Linked DNA regions of Mytilus edulis. The protein of the gene in region 1 purifies or fractionates together with the protein of each later gene. This does not show direct contact. Links are inferred from orthologs where the notes say so. Each region holds a gene or a part of one and is shown on either strand. Other genes may lie near its edges.

Region 1 (7,266 bases):
TAAAAGGGGAATAGTTGTTTTATACTTAACTGCGTCAATTTGTTTTGCAAATTGATGGTCTCTCTCCTTAACAAATTATGTATATGATTGTTCAATTTCTTCTGCCGAAACTAGTCTCAGTACCAACTGAGTTGTTGATAACATAAGGTACGGAGTGTGTGTCAGATAGAAAACAACCAAACAACATAAAAAAAGTTATGAATATCAATAAAAGGCGATGCCTTTCATGTGACAGAGACAGCAACACGACAGCCGTGACAAAAACTCAAAGGCATTTATGGGAAAACAGACAATTGCCAATGCAGTATCAGAAGGTAAAATCACAAAAATACTGAACTCCGAGGAAACATCAAAACGGAAAGTCCCTAATCAAATAGAAAAATCAAACGACAAAACACATCAAACGAATGGACAACAACTGTCATATTTCTGACTTGGTACAGGTATTTTCAAATGTAGAAAATGGTGGATTGAACCTGGTTTTATAGCGCTAAACCTCTCACTTGTATGACAGATATATTGCGATGTTATTAAATTGTTGTATATACGTAATATATTATTTTTTTGACAATATAGATGAAAAAGTGCGATTAATAGCTCATCATAGATACAAGGGTTAAAATTTTATACATGGACCATGCAGATGCGCATTTTGTCTACACATGACTCATCAGTGATATTCAAATCGAAATGGTTAAAAAGGTCAAAATAAGTTGATCAGCATTGATACCCAATTCCTGAATATCTGAAAAGACTAAAACTTTAAAATATAAATTATTCTTCACAAAATCATTTAAGTTATAAAAATAAAATTATGTTTGAGTAATTCGAAAACTGAAAACTAAATATACAATTAACTTCAACAAAAGATACTTACTCGTTAAATACGTTTCCAAATTTAAAGTATTAAAATGATGTCAGTGACTTAATATATATATAATTATTGGTACTCATGATTAAGTGGACACTCTTCCGTTTTTCTGGGACATAAACACTTTATAAAGTTCAATTGCATCTCTCTATAACGAAATGTTTACAATCCAATTAGGACGTAGGCTACTTAAGATTATAATATTACAACATAAGTGAATATAGAACTAATGTCATGGACGTCATTCGTTTTGAAAAAAATTCTAAAGGGCCCTGACTTTTATAGAATTTAGTAGACTGTTTGATGTATGTATGAAGGAAAGGCGGAACATTCCAGAGGGACATTCAAACGCATAAGTCGAAAATAGACTGACAACACCATAAAGAAGAAAAGGACCAACAGACAAACAATAGTTCTCAAAACACAACGTAGAAAACTAGACTAAGCAACACGAACCCCACCAAAAACTGGGGGGATCTCATGTGCTCCGGATGGGTAATCAAATCCTGCTCCACATGTGGCAAACGTCGTGTTGCTCATGTTAGTACAAAAGCTTTAATATTTATATAGACGAATAATCAGTATACAGAAAACATAAGCTCTATATTGAGCTTTCATATCGTCTTATTACAAACAAAACATTAAAAAACATGCCCGTTTAAAACAAACCAAGCATACAGCATACAAAAGAGCAACACAACCAAACAAAATCATTGCATTTAAGGACATATACAATAAATGACACGAAGACGTTAATGTATGTTATACTTTGCAGAAGTATTAAAGGGTGATGTCATGTGCTCCGGATGGGTAATCAAATCCTGCTCCACATGTGGAAAACGTCGTGTTGCTCATGTTAGTACAAAAGCTTTAATATTTATATAGACGAATATTCAGTATACAGAAAACATAAGCTCTATTGAGCTTTCATATCGTCTTATTACAAACAAAACATTAAAAAAACATGCCCGTTTAAAACAAACCAAGCATACAGCATACAAAAGAGCAACACAACCAAACAAAATCATTGCATTTAAGGACATATACAATAAAATGACACGAAGACGTTAATGTATGTTATACTTTGCAGAAGTATTAAAAGTATCGTATTCAATCAATATTAGAAGCATATTAAGCACTTCAAATACATACTAGTAAGCAGTTTTAGCACATTGAGCAGAAAATCCCTATAAATTAAGCATTAATTATTTGCAGGCATTACATAGTCATGAACTACCATTCCCGGTAACAATTATTTACGAAAATTAATTAAAATGGTTTCTTCTCTAAAACTCTTTGGTAGTTCATTCCAAAATTTTTGCAGCTACTTATAGCGAAAGGAATTGATGTCATAGCTTCTTGTTCTTACCTGAGTCTGTTCAACTGTATCAAAGTGTGGTTTTCATATTAATAACCAAATCATGTAAATATGATAGTCTGTCATTTAGTGTATAATTTTAAAAGTTTCTATAGGTATTGATCGTTTTCTTCTGATGATTTGTCTTATGTAAAAGATCTTTTCTTTTTTATGTCAGAGCTATCATAATCCTAATCAACAAATATCAAGGCTCTCTCTTGGATTTTTTCTTATCATTAACTGAGTTTTTTTTTAATGAAAATGCCAGATGACTGGGCAATAATTGAGATTAGACAAAATAAATTAATAATAAATTGTTAGACAAACACACGAACCAAGTATTAATAATTGAGATTAGACAAAATAAATGAATAATAAAGTGTTAGACAACCACACGAACCAAGTATTTCCAAATACCTACCAATACTTTAAGAACATTAAGTGGACGAGAGGGATTCTTAAAAATCTGAGATATTAGTTTATCAAGATTTAATCTGTAATCTAGTGTAACTCCCAGTAGCTTAATTAACGCCATCTTCACATTCTATTCTATTTCCTTTAATATTAAAAACAATCATTCAGATTAAGAGTGTTTTGCCAAGAATAACGCATATATTTTTAATGCGGCGACCCCGGCTGCAAATAAAGTGGTTGTCCTATATAAAATTAATTGAAAATATTACACTGTTAATTATACCCCAATGGGGTATAGGTGGTATACATAAAAACAAAACAGAATATTACATAATACATTTCAAAAATAATTTAACATTATTCGCCTGGTCATGTTTTGGGATTTTTGTCAGATTTTCGGAACTCTAGTTTTATCCATTTGAATGAATTAAAAAAAAACAGTTTTCTTTTTATAAATCTTTTACATGTATAATGATAAGCCATCTATAAAAGTCTTATAAAATTTTAATTATTTTTCAATAGTTTTTGAGAACTTAAACTTCATAAAGCTATGAAAAGTCAAAAGAGAATATTTCCCCGCCAAAATATCAATAACTTACTAATATATCGAAAACAAGCCATTGACCTATTTTTTTTTGTTGGCTCTTTAGTTTTGATTCCTTTATTAATTCCCTGTCATGTTAAACTAGTGTTATGAAAAGCTAATTATTTTGAAACTGAGAAGCGAACTCCCTTTACATAAGATAAATTCATATATGTACGTATCATGCGGTTGTTGAACCCTCTCTCCCCAGCCAGTGACTTGAACCGCATTAATGACGGACATTAAGGTAAAAGATGATTTTAAGATTTAGAAGGGAACAAATCATCTTGGCAAAATCTCTTTTTTTCTTTTTTGTCAAAATTAATTTTTTCCCTCAAGTTTCTGTTTTCAAATGTATTTTTTTTTATATCTTCATTCAATTATTCAACATGTGTTTATGCAACAGATTTTGGTAAAATTTTAACGCGGATGTACTGGGGTGGGTATCATCGGAGACTTGCAATAGATAATGTATTATAGCGTCTCTAGTATTATTTACACCCAGTTAATTAACTGCCAGATTGCAAAATTCTTATTTCATAAGAAATAAACTCAGGCCACAAATTAAAGGGTCCATGTCGAGGAAATTATTATTATAACAATTTATTTCACTCTGATTGATTATAACATAACTCTTAAATACACAGGGGACTAATTTAACCGAAGACGTTAAATATTGGCATTAAGGGTGAAAAAGTGGGGCGAATTGCTAATGGGGCGAGTTGTCTTACTTCCAAGGGTAAGTAACTCTGTTTTGTATACATGATTGTCTCCCTTCTAAATAATAATAATAATGATGGATGCTGGGCCTCGAAAGGGCGAGGGGTTGCCCAAATTAAGGGACCTTTTGCGGAGGCAAAGAGAAGATTCGCTGTCAGAGGTACATCTATAAATATAAGTTTTAAGACAAACTATGAATAAAACCAATCAGCAAATGCAATGTTACTTCCGCTGTCAAAATCATCCCAACTTTAGTCTTTACAGAGATTTATACAGTGACTAATTTTAAACTAAAGACTAAATTTACACTTTGTAATGTAAAATTTAAATGATACAGGTTCTCAGTTATATGTTACTTTTCACTTTTCATAACTATCACTGATAATTGAATATTCGATTTTTAATATCTTCTTTTTTGTTACTACTGTCTTACCAGGTTTTGTGAAATAATTTACTGGCACTGCTTCATGTCTGTGATAATTTAATGAATTAGTTGTATTTGATACACAATCCTTATTTTACAATCTGTATTGGAAATAGATACTGGTCTCAAATCAGTAACTGTCCATTGCCATTTCCTTCAATGCTGTATTTCTAGGGCATATAAGGCACAAAATGTGCACCATAATTCAGTTACCTTGTTTTGTAACCCCCATTGACATAATGGTTACTACAGGTACTACATTGTATCATAGAATTTGCTTTCAACTTTCAACTTTATTAAACAAACTCAGACGCAGTAACTGCATAGTACATTATAATTACAGATGACAGAATAAGTATAGAAATTATCTCATAGATGTACAATGTACATTGAACTATAAGATTTCAAGTTATTAGAACATATACAAATGTATTATAGACAATTTCAGATACATGTAGTATACAATTTAGAAAAGTAAGAGTATACGTATGATATCAATGTACATTTGTAATGTATTTTGTAAATAAAAGAAATGAAGAAAAAGCAAACAATAATTTATGTAATTTTTTACCCCCAGTTCCATGTAGTTAAAATATTTTGAGTGAAGGTGACTGTTTATGAATATTTAGATAATTGAGTCCTTTTGTTTTCCAGAGTATGACGGATAGTCCAGATATAGAATTTTTGTATGATGATGCAGACACTTACCAGAGTGAAATGTCAGGTATAGATAAAAGAAGTGTTGACAGATAATTATTGACTATTAGAAATATTATAAGCTGTACACAACATGAATAATTAAATTTGTAACTGATAATTTCTCAAAGAATCATATTTCTTTTAAATGCATATATTTGACATTACTTCAATTATCTGTCAAAATTCATGCCCCCTAGTTGATTCAAGTTCTTAAATTTTATTTAATATATACTAAACCTGTATTTAGAGGTACATGTATGTACAATGCAAGAGTTCTATAGAAATAATACACAATTTATTGAACAGCTACTAATTAGTATCAACTTTCTTGTGTTTTCCTAACTGGAATCAATCAAATCAACTGTCAACATGATTATTTATTTATAAATATAAACAGACAGGTTAACAAATACAAAAAGACAAGCAGGCAGATGCAACAAGACTTGAAGTATTGTGTTGATTTTTTTTTAGTTTTGTCTGATCACATTTCAGAGATATACAAAGTTAAACATATAAATTATTAAATTGTTTACTCATTACTTATACATTAGACTTTGTTGTGGGTGGAATCAATCAACAAAATATGTCTTTCTGTGTTCTTCTCTAGTTTCACTTTGTCAGCTAACAGTTATAGTTTTAATCACTGGACAGGCTGATCACATCTCCTACTCATTTCTATTTGTCAAAATTAAAGTTGCATGCATACAGACCCTATTGAAATCATTTTTATACAACCGCAAAATTGTTTTGCATCGTATAATGCTATCATGTCGTCATCGTCTAAAGACGCATTTAGTGTCCGGACAATAAGTTAAGTTTCAGTAAATGGATCTCTATAATTTTTTACCAGAAGGTTCAATACCACTAAAGAAAGGTTGGGATTGATTTTGGGGGTTATGGTCCCAACAGTTTAGGAATTAGGGGCCAAAAAAAGGGCCCAAATAAGCATTTTTTTAGTTTCCAGACAATAACTTTTTATATCTGTTTAAATGTAAACATTTTTTTTTAGGGATGGGTTTGGGGGAGGTCAATTCGCAACAGCATAGTGTATTGCCAAAAAGCAAAAAACATATAAATTCAAATCATACAACCAATTAATTCTAAGTTCTTTGACTACAGTTATTCTGTGTCAGGAACCTACATGTATTAGGTGTCAAATATTTAATTACAATTCAAATTCAGACCTGTATCAAGCTCAAATATTATGTCCATTTTTGTCCCAACTGTTCAGGGTTGGACCTCTGCGTTTGTATCCAGCTGGGCTCGGTGAAGCAATTTATTTTTCTTGCAAGTCAATATTTTATGAGCAATGTTTTTGAGCTCATTATTATGAGGTTGAATCAAACTGGCTTCTAAAAGCAAGTCATGATTTCAATATTCTGTTTTCATTATACCCCTCAAACAAACTTTGAAGGGCATTTAAGAATCAGACTTTCCATCTGTTTATCTGTACCAGCATCTTTGTTCATTTAACTTAAAACTTTGTTGAATAAAAGACCGCTAACATTGCCATGTGATTGAAGGAATTTTTCTGCTGTCATGGTTATCCAAAATATATATGGTCCAATAACCTTAGAAATTTTTGGCCTTTTCAGAACCAATCTTTTAAACAATGGTACAGAAGGGGTTGAATTGCCAAAGAATTAGAGAACGCATATAATGCAAATTCATACAATAATAATCATTTTTTGTAGAATTATACAGTTACACAGAAGAGAGTGAGTTTGCATTAAATAGAAAGTGCTTTGAAGATGGATTCACAGCAAAAGGTAATAAATTAGAGACTTAAGAGCTACCAAAATGTCAAATAAAAAACAAGGTGTCTAAAAAACTCTTCTGTGACAGGGACAACCTTGATCTTTTAAGTTTGTTTTACAGATGACTGTATCTACTGTGGATTCATTTATTTTCGTGGATTGCTGAAAACTTGCATATTCATGGATATTTGATTTCGTGTTTTTGACAATCTCTGTTTACTAAGCCTATTAGAATATGTATTTCGTTGAACATTTGATTTCGTGGTTAATCCATACCCACGAAACCCACGAAAATTGGTATCCAACGAATAATAATGAATCCTCAGTATGTTATTTACTCTAATATTAACAGTTTCAGCTTTGCAAGTAATAAACTGTTTAGTCTTTGTTCTACATATTACTGTAAACAGGGAAATTTTCGCGGTAGTTTTATTTTCGCTA
Region 2 (7,925 bases), on another chromosome or scaffold:
TTTCAGATAGTTACAAGAATCATTATAAATTCTGAGGGAAAAAAAAATTCTAAAAAGAAGAAAGAGAGGCTATTTATTGGTTAGACACTCGTTAGAACTCTGATTATACTTTTGTAAATCTTGCTATTTATAAAGTTTAATAATACATTTCTAAATGTAATATTCCATTCTCACTAAAAAAAATTATATTCATGTAACTGGCAAAATTGAATTAATGTATTATCATGATAATATTTACCATCTTTCTTTTCTAATGCAGGGGGCTTCAAGTCTTCCTGATTGATTTCTGTTCCATATTTTAACTTGTGGTATTTTGACCTGAAATTATAGAATTAAATATCCTTGAGAATCCCCCAAGAATTATAAATTCAATGACTTTAACATTTTTTTTTTTTTTTTGTAATGACTAAATTTTTGACTAGTTGGAAAAAATATTCAGAACTTGACTGAATAATTGTCAATATAATTGACTTTGCCAGTTGAATTTTAGAATGATAAGTCTTGCTTTTCACAACAGACAGAACAACAAAATAAAGTTTCTGGACACAATGGTTTATCTTGACACCATGTTTGTGTCATATTGGTTATACTATGGATTGATGAATATTTCAGTGTTTTCACCATGGCCTTTTAGCACCATGGTAATGTGATGTTAATTTGCTATATCACTAGAATGTGATTCTATCTAGTATCTGAAGTGGTTTTTTTTACAGATTGTGTTATGGGTGTCATGCTATAATTTCTAGAAACAAGATGGTATTTCTTAATTACCTGTTTACCAGGAGGATATAAAATTTTCCCCAGAGAAAACAGTGTGTTTGTGAGAAACCTTTAAAAGCAAGGATGACAATTCCTGGGAGCCCATGGTCCCTAAACTTTGAGATGGACTCATTTTTGTTTACATGTTTTCTAGATTAATTAAATTTTAGCCACCAAAAATAACATATTGGCTGTTCACCCACTTAAAAGTTTAATGTTTTCAATTCTGCTTTCCAGAATTGGTATTAATTTGATTGTTATTTCAATACAGGGGGTATTCATGGTATTGTAAAATGATAATCTTAGGCTGAGCCAATATCATGACACAATTTTATGTTTTTATTTTGACCATCATCACATTTCTCTGTATTGAACAACAATGTTTTGCACTACCATTAATTTTAACAACTGACACTATAGATTGTCAACTTACCTTTCCTGTTTCAGGGCATATTCCAGCATTTTTATTCTTCTGACAAGATCTTGTTTTAAATTTTCTTGTCCTTTTCTTTCTCCTTGTAAAAATGCAATTCTGGCCTAAAAAATAAATATATGTTCATAAACATGATAAAGAGAAGTTTTATTGTCAAGAGTAATCTGATGTTGGCCCTAGACTGTGTTGATTACACAACACTTGAAATAGATTTCACCATTCGAAGTATAAATTCAATTCAATTGAACTATACCTCCTCTGAGAATCATAGTCTGGTCACCCTAAAACACATAAGCGCCCATTAACGTTTGCCCTCTTTCACTTTCGCACCCAAAGTCTGTTCCAACCCTACACTTTAGCTGTTTAGCACCCTTTTCATTGGTTTTGTGTTTAATATTATTGTACATGTTGTATCAAGTTTTGGTTATTGTATTGCTATAAATGTTTTTTTCATTTTCAGTATAGTGAGAATCTGACGGGTTTTTTTTTGTTGATTAAATCTTAATCATGTTTTGGTAAGATTATTGCTATTATCGTCCTTTCCTCTGCCTATATCACCCTGCTCTGCTGCTCCGTAATTCTTGTATCAAGACTCCAAAACGAGACCTGGCATTATCAGCGACGTCACAATGTGAGAGGAGACATTATCAGGGACGTCACAATGTGAGAGGAGACATTATGAAGCTTCCTTTTTTCAAGCGTAAAACTGTCTTAGGGAGAAAGAAACGACAAGTAATAGAACGATAAAAAGATAATCGGGTTTTCTTCGTATAATTATCGTAAAATATCAGCAGCTTTTTTTTGTGTTTCGTTTGCTACACTCACTCGCCAAAAAGGTTCACATTGTGGCTCGCAGCTGATATTTTACGATATCAATGAGTAGAAAACCCGATAATCTATACATATATTTGTATAACATGTTTTTATCAATTCCAAGCGGACTAGTTTATCAAAAAAACAAAACTTTGTTACAACAATCAGTGAGAATTATTATATCATTGAACAATTATATTGCTCACAAAACAAGTCATCAACTTTTAAATATTTCCATGTGGTTTCATAAATTTCAAGAATATATACCATATAATATCTGAATACGTTAAACTTAAAAGCCCTTAATTGAATTATTTAAAGTAGGGCGAACGGACCAGGGCAACCATGAAATCTGGGCGAACAGATCAGATACCGTGAAAATCACCCTTGTGATGTACTGAAATTTCCAGCGCCCTGAGTCATATCCCAACCTGGGACCTTCAGCATGGTAGCCATCTGTCTTAGCTACTAAACCACAAACCCACACAATGTATTGCAATGGGGAAATAGACATTAGACACAAGCTCTTTATAAACAACTGAAAGGGTGTTGTGAGAGCTTTGTGTTGTTTACACACTTGACAATGTTAAGAGAAAACCATTCAATATGCTTTTGTTTACTTATCCCTCAGGGGAGTATTATCTTGAGAAATCCCATTGGTGGTACAATGCTTTCTACTAAAGACCTCTACGGTACTGTCACAGCGAATAAGTGAATCAGATGTCAAATTTGGCCGCCATATTGATTTCTGCAAAATGGCGTCCTGGGATATATGATTTTAACACGGATGTTTGTAGAAGATCTGTTAAATAACAACCATAACTTAGCCATTATATGATAGTTTAAAGATTAAAGATTTATTAAATTGCATTATGTGCTTTTTTGCTAAGTCCTCACTTGGAGTTCTGCACGTTCAACTTCCCATTGCGATCGCTCCATCTCGAAACGGGACCATTCTGTCTGCAAGAAATGCAATATTCCAGGCATAGAATACTGTGGCCGTTGAATAGATTCATCTTGCTGTTTAGTCATCATCCCTATTGCTCCGGAAACAGGGCCCAGAGACCCTCCGTTTTGAGGTCCTTCACTATCGTTAATCATTATTTCAGAGGATCGCCATTTTCTTCATTTTTATTATGATAGGTGTCGCTTCAGATGTCAGTGACGCAAAATTTTCCTTCGGAATGCGTCTGGACTTTTCTTTCCTATCAAAGGAAATCTGGTAGATTGAAAAAATTCTTTACCCCACCCGAAAAAGCTTCTGCAGACCAAATTCTCATTCATAACAGATCATAACAGTACTTTTTAACCGGATTTTTGTGACAAAAATGTCGGTTATTGATTTGAGGATGCTCGGCGGGCGGCCGGGCGGTCGGGCGGTCGGGCAGTCGGGCGGCCGGGTGGTCGGGCGGGCGGCAATCAAATGTTGTCCGTGCATTAACTCATGAACCGTTCAGCCAAAGCTTTTAAAATTTTAATATGTTGTTACTGACATCTAAATGAAGGTCAAGTTCAATAATGGCGATTTTGACTTTTACGGTTCAGGAGTTATGGTTCTTGAAAGATTGAAAAATGGAGTTTTCAGTCCTGTCCGTGCATTTACGCATGAACTGTTCTACCAAAGCTTCCCAAATTTAAATATGTTGTTACTGATGACAAAATGGAGGTCAAGTTAAATAATGACGATTTTGACTTTTACCGTTCAGGAGTTATGGTTCTTGAAAGATTGAAAAATGGAGTTTCCATTTGTGTCCGTGCATTTATGCATGAACTGTTCTACCAAAGCTTCCCAAATTTTAATATGTTGTAACTGATGACAAAATAGAAGTCAAGTTAAATAATGACGATTTTGACCTTTACCGTTCAGGAGTTATGGTTCTTGAAAGATTGAAAAATGGTGTTTCCAGTTGTGTCCGTGCATTTTCTCATGAACCATTCAACCAAAGCTTTTGAAATTTTTATATGTTGTTACTGATGACAAAATAGAGGTCAAGTTCAATAATGACGATTCTGACTTTTACCGTTCAGGCGTTATGGTTCTTGAAAGATTGTAAAATGGCGTTTCCATTCACGTTGTTGCATTTACTCATGAACCATTCAATCTAAGCTTTTCAAATTTTAATATGTTGATACTGATGACAAAATGGAGGTCAAATTTGATATTGACGATTTTCACTTTCACCACTCATCAGTAATGGTTCTTGTGATATTGCCAGGACACAAATAAATATTAATAAATCCGGTTTGCTGTCGTTGTGACAGCCTCTTGTTATTGAATACACACGTATGCTGTGAAATAAGATACAAAATTAGATTTTTTTGTATTTAATCAACCCTGAACAGCAGGGGCCAGAGTATAAGTTATAAAATCAATAATTATCAAATGATTCATGAATGAAAATATTATACAGACATCAAAATTGGTAAATAGTGTACAATAATTATCAATGATTCATGAATGAAAATATTATACAGAGACATAAAAATTTGTAAATATTGTTACTTATCATAAGTTACATAAATGAAACAATAGTATAAACTTGAAAAAAGAATGAAAGAGTGCAAAAGGCTTCTTATTTCAAGAATTTAGCTATATTATGCATGATGATGGAATCACTTGATGCAGACAAGGATTTAAAGATCTTACTATACATAACCATTTATTGTCAATGCTTTAGTGCTAATAAAGTTATCTTATCTATACAAATCCTTGGTATAGATCACATCTCCCTTTTAAAACTAATTGGGGGGGAATCATAAAGTGACAATTTTTAAGTTCTTTTTAAAGGCTTTAATTAGTCGCGCTGGAATGTTTGGAAAAGATGTCATTAAACAATACTCTTTTAAAATGTGACTATATAATAACCATTGTGATATAGGATATGGATAGGAATTGACAAATGTGAATTATAGATTCCTGTAGTCATATTTTCAGTCATATGGGTTCAGTTTTTAACTCTTATTCTTAATTTCTGATTTCATTCATGCTTGGATATACTGTCATATATATTTTGTAAGAGAGAAAGATTCCTATTGATTTGAAGGTCATCAGGTCAAAGGTCAAGGTCTTGTTTACTACAAATTAATAGACAGATTTCTGCTGACAAGTGGTTTCCTCATCCTTAATCAAATACTACACATGGAATTGCAACCTTACTTGCACATATAATGGGCACATATCATGAGAGGAAGATATTAAATTTATTATTTTTTATGTTGCTGTGTCTAAGGTCAAGGTCAAAATTGTTTAAATAGGCATATGCATTTGTGAAAAGTGTTTTGAGGAGGCTCAATCAAATATAACTAAAGCAATTGCAATCATAATTGGAATCAAATTACAACTACCTCATGCAAAGTTGACCTTAGATGACTGGATATATTGTTTATAATACATGTAGTCCTTTTAAGTCATACAGCTCTTTACATGATAAGGTACATCCTTGGTATTCACAATTTCGGGTATGAGTGTCCCTGATAAAGATAAATCCAGTAAAGCACTTGAAATGTACAAAATTAATAAAGTTTGATTTTCATTCTATAAATATGGTCACAGATAATAAGAGGAAAATCACTGTTAATTTCAAAGTTACTTGATTAGAAAAAAGTTATTTTGTGAATGACAGTACACATATTTGTTTAGGAGCCAGCTGAAGCCTGCCTGCAGGTGCAGGATTTTCTTGCTGCGATAAAGACCCATTGGTGGCCTTGTGGTTTTTTTCTGCTCTTTGGTCGGGTTGTTGTCTCTTTGATACACAATCCTGGTTTCTCAACTTTATTAATAAATAATCTAAAGACATGAAATATTATTTTAATAGGTAAGAAATTTAACTTTTCATGATCTAAAGGAGTGGGTTATATCATTATTTCTATCCCAAAATGATAATCTCACATCATTAGCTAAATTTTAATTGTTTATGACATTGATAGCAAATGACAACAAACTGATGTATGCTTTATAAAACAGTATTAAGTTAACCAAGAATGCATTGATTCTAAAGATATGCCATCTTAGCCTTAAATGTGAGCGTGAGAATGGGCAAAAAAAAACCATCCAGAAAACAAATTTATGGAGCTATTGATAATGTCTGATCTTGTCACTCTTTATTGACTTTAACGTTTAGAATTTACCTTTGAAGTTTGTTATTTTTGTTATACTTTTATACATGAATTTTCTTTTTGATATGTTGTTGTCTGTCTGTATGCCTTTAAAAAATGGTTTTTGGTTGTTCCCTTGATGTCTGAAAACCCTTCTTTTAGCGCTTACGCCTTCACTTAAGAGTATGTTTTAGTTGTCTGTCTGTTGTATACATAAAACATTTCTAAAAATGTTAAGTATAAAGTTTATTTCTAAATAATTATGGTGAAATTTTAATTTAGTTTTATTATTTTTAGGTGCAATTATGATAAAGTTCATTTTCCTTTTCAACAAAATTGGAAAACCAAGAATTGTTAGATTTTATGACAATCCTCTAGAATCCCAAAGAATAACAGTTCAAAAAGAGGTTTCTAATGTTTGCTTAGCGCATTCAAAACAGGTACAGTACCGTTTTGCTTCAATACATTAATAAAGTTTCAAAATGAATGCTATATCACATGTATATACAAGTTTAAATAGATAAAGAAAGATGTGGTATGAGTGCCAATGAGACAACTCTCCATCCAAATAACAATTTATAAAAGTAAATCATTATGTCTGCATTTGAGTCCTTGTTTAAATAAACACTGTCTCCCATAAAAAAATGTTTGATCTTGTTAACACATCTTGCTGATATTTATGGAAAATAAATTAGTCACAATGCTTGTTTTAATAGAAAAAAATCTTGATTGTTTTGTGTTGAACCAGGTTTCAATTGAAGTAATGTGTACATAGTTTGGTTAAAGGGACACTAGCTACGAGATATATAAAAAATCTAAAGTTTGATTTTTTTCTGTTCAATCAATAATAAAAGTGAAATAGTGAAATAACAATTTGCTTTTTGCAGCCAAAAAGGTTCCATTTTGTCAAATTACGCTAAGAAACATTGATAATTAGTTATTCACTTGCAAGTGAATGATTTGACCTCTTTAAATCCTTATTCATGTGAACTTCAATTTAACCCCTAGCTAGATGCATGCATTGTACGTGTACTTGTTATTTAAAGAAAAAGAATGTCAACAATGAAAGTGAAACTACGGTTAATCATTTGATTACATAAAATCATTCTCATACGATTAAAAACAATGAGAAACATCAATTTTTATTCTATAAAATCAAATCAAACAGACCTATAAAAATCTAATTGCACGTACTGGTTTAATCTATTCATATCTTTATTTATGTTTACATCGCTTGTATGTTCATCTGAGGTCAAATCGATATTTAATTAGATGGCGTCTGGACTAAAATACACACGAAACGAACCTATATATTATCTACCACATGCTCTGAAAACTGTTTATTTTAGACTTTTGATAGTTTGTATAAATGTTTTACATTGTTATAAATCAAATATGAGAATTTGACTCAAATCGGTGACCATGAATTTGACAGCTAGTGCCCCCTTAAGCTAAATCTTTATTTCAGTAAATTTATAAAAACCCAAAAAGGATACTGGATGTTTTACAGGCATCAGACTACATTTACTCAATGTACTTTTTCAAGGACAATAAAAAATGTGTATCTTAAAAAAGTAAATAAAAGGATATGACATCAAAAGGATTTTTTGAGACATAAGAAATCTAGGAGCCATTTTCAAAATGAATTATTTCTGTAATAATGATGAAAAGGAAATACAAAAAGGCAAGATATTAATACACTTAAACATCAAAATATCCATTTCCAGGAAGGAATACTAGATTATAAAGATTACACTTTAGTATACCGTCACTATGGTAACTTGGTTTTTGCTGCAGGAATTACAGAAGATGAGGTAACGTAACT

Evidence for each region.
Region 2: the proteins of striatin-interacting protein 1 homolog (region 1) and striatin-like purify together in Drosophila melanogaster (affinity purification with western blotting; 4 studies listed by BioGRID, with this or other methods). This does not show direct contact. The link is inferred for Mytilus edulis from reciprocal best matches to the Drosophila melanogaster genes Strip and Cka.

What each region holds. Positions count from the first base shown.
Region 1 is NC_092344.1:72,367,944-72,375,209, forward strand, and holds the start of striatin-interacting protein 1 homolog, read left to right. Parts: upstream 1-3,976; 5' UTR 3,977-4,018; coding exon 4,019-4,105; intron 4,106-5,023; coding exon 5,024-5,093; intron 5,094-6,762; coding exon 6,763-6,837; intron 6,838-7,266.
Region 2 is NC_092346.1:56,179,699-56,187,623, reverse strand, and holds the start of striatin-like, read right to left. Parts: upstream 3,191-7,925; 5' UTR 3,107-3,190; coding exon 2,903-3,106; intron 1,297-2,902; coding exon 1,193-1,296; intron 319-1,192; coding exon 239-318; intron 1-238. Other genes in the region: AP-4 complex subunit sigma-1-like, read left to right, coding at 6,406-6,540, 7,828-7,914.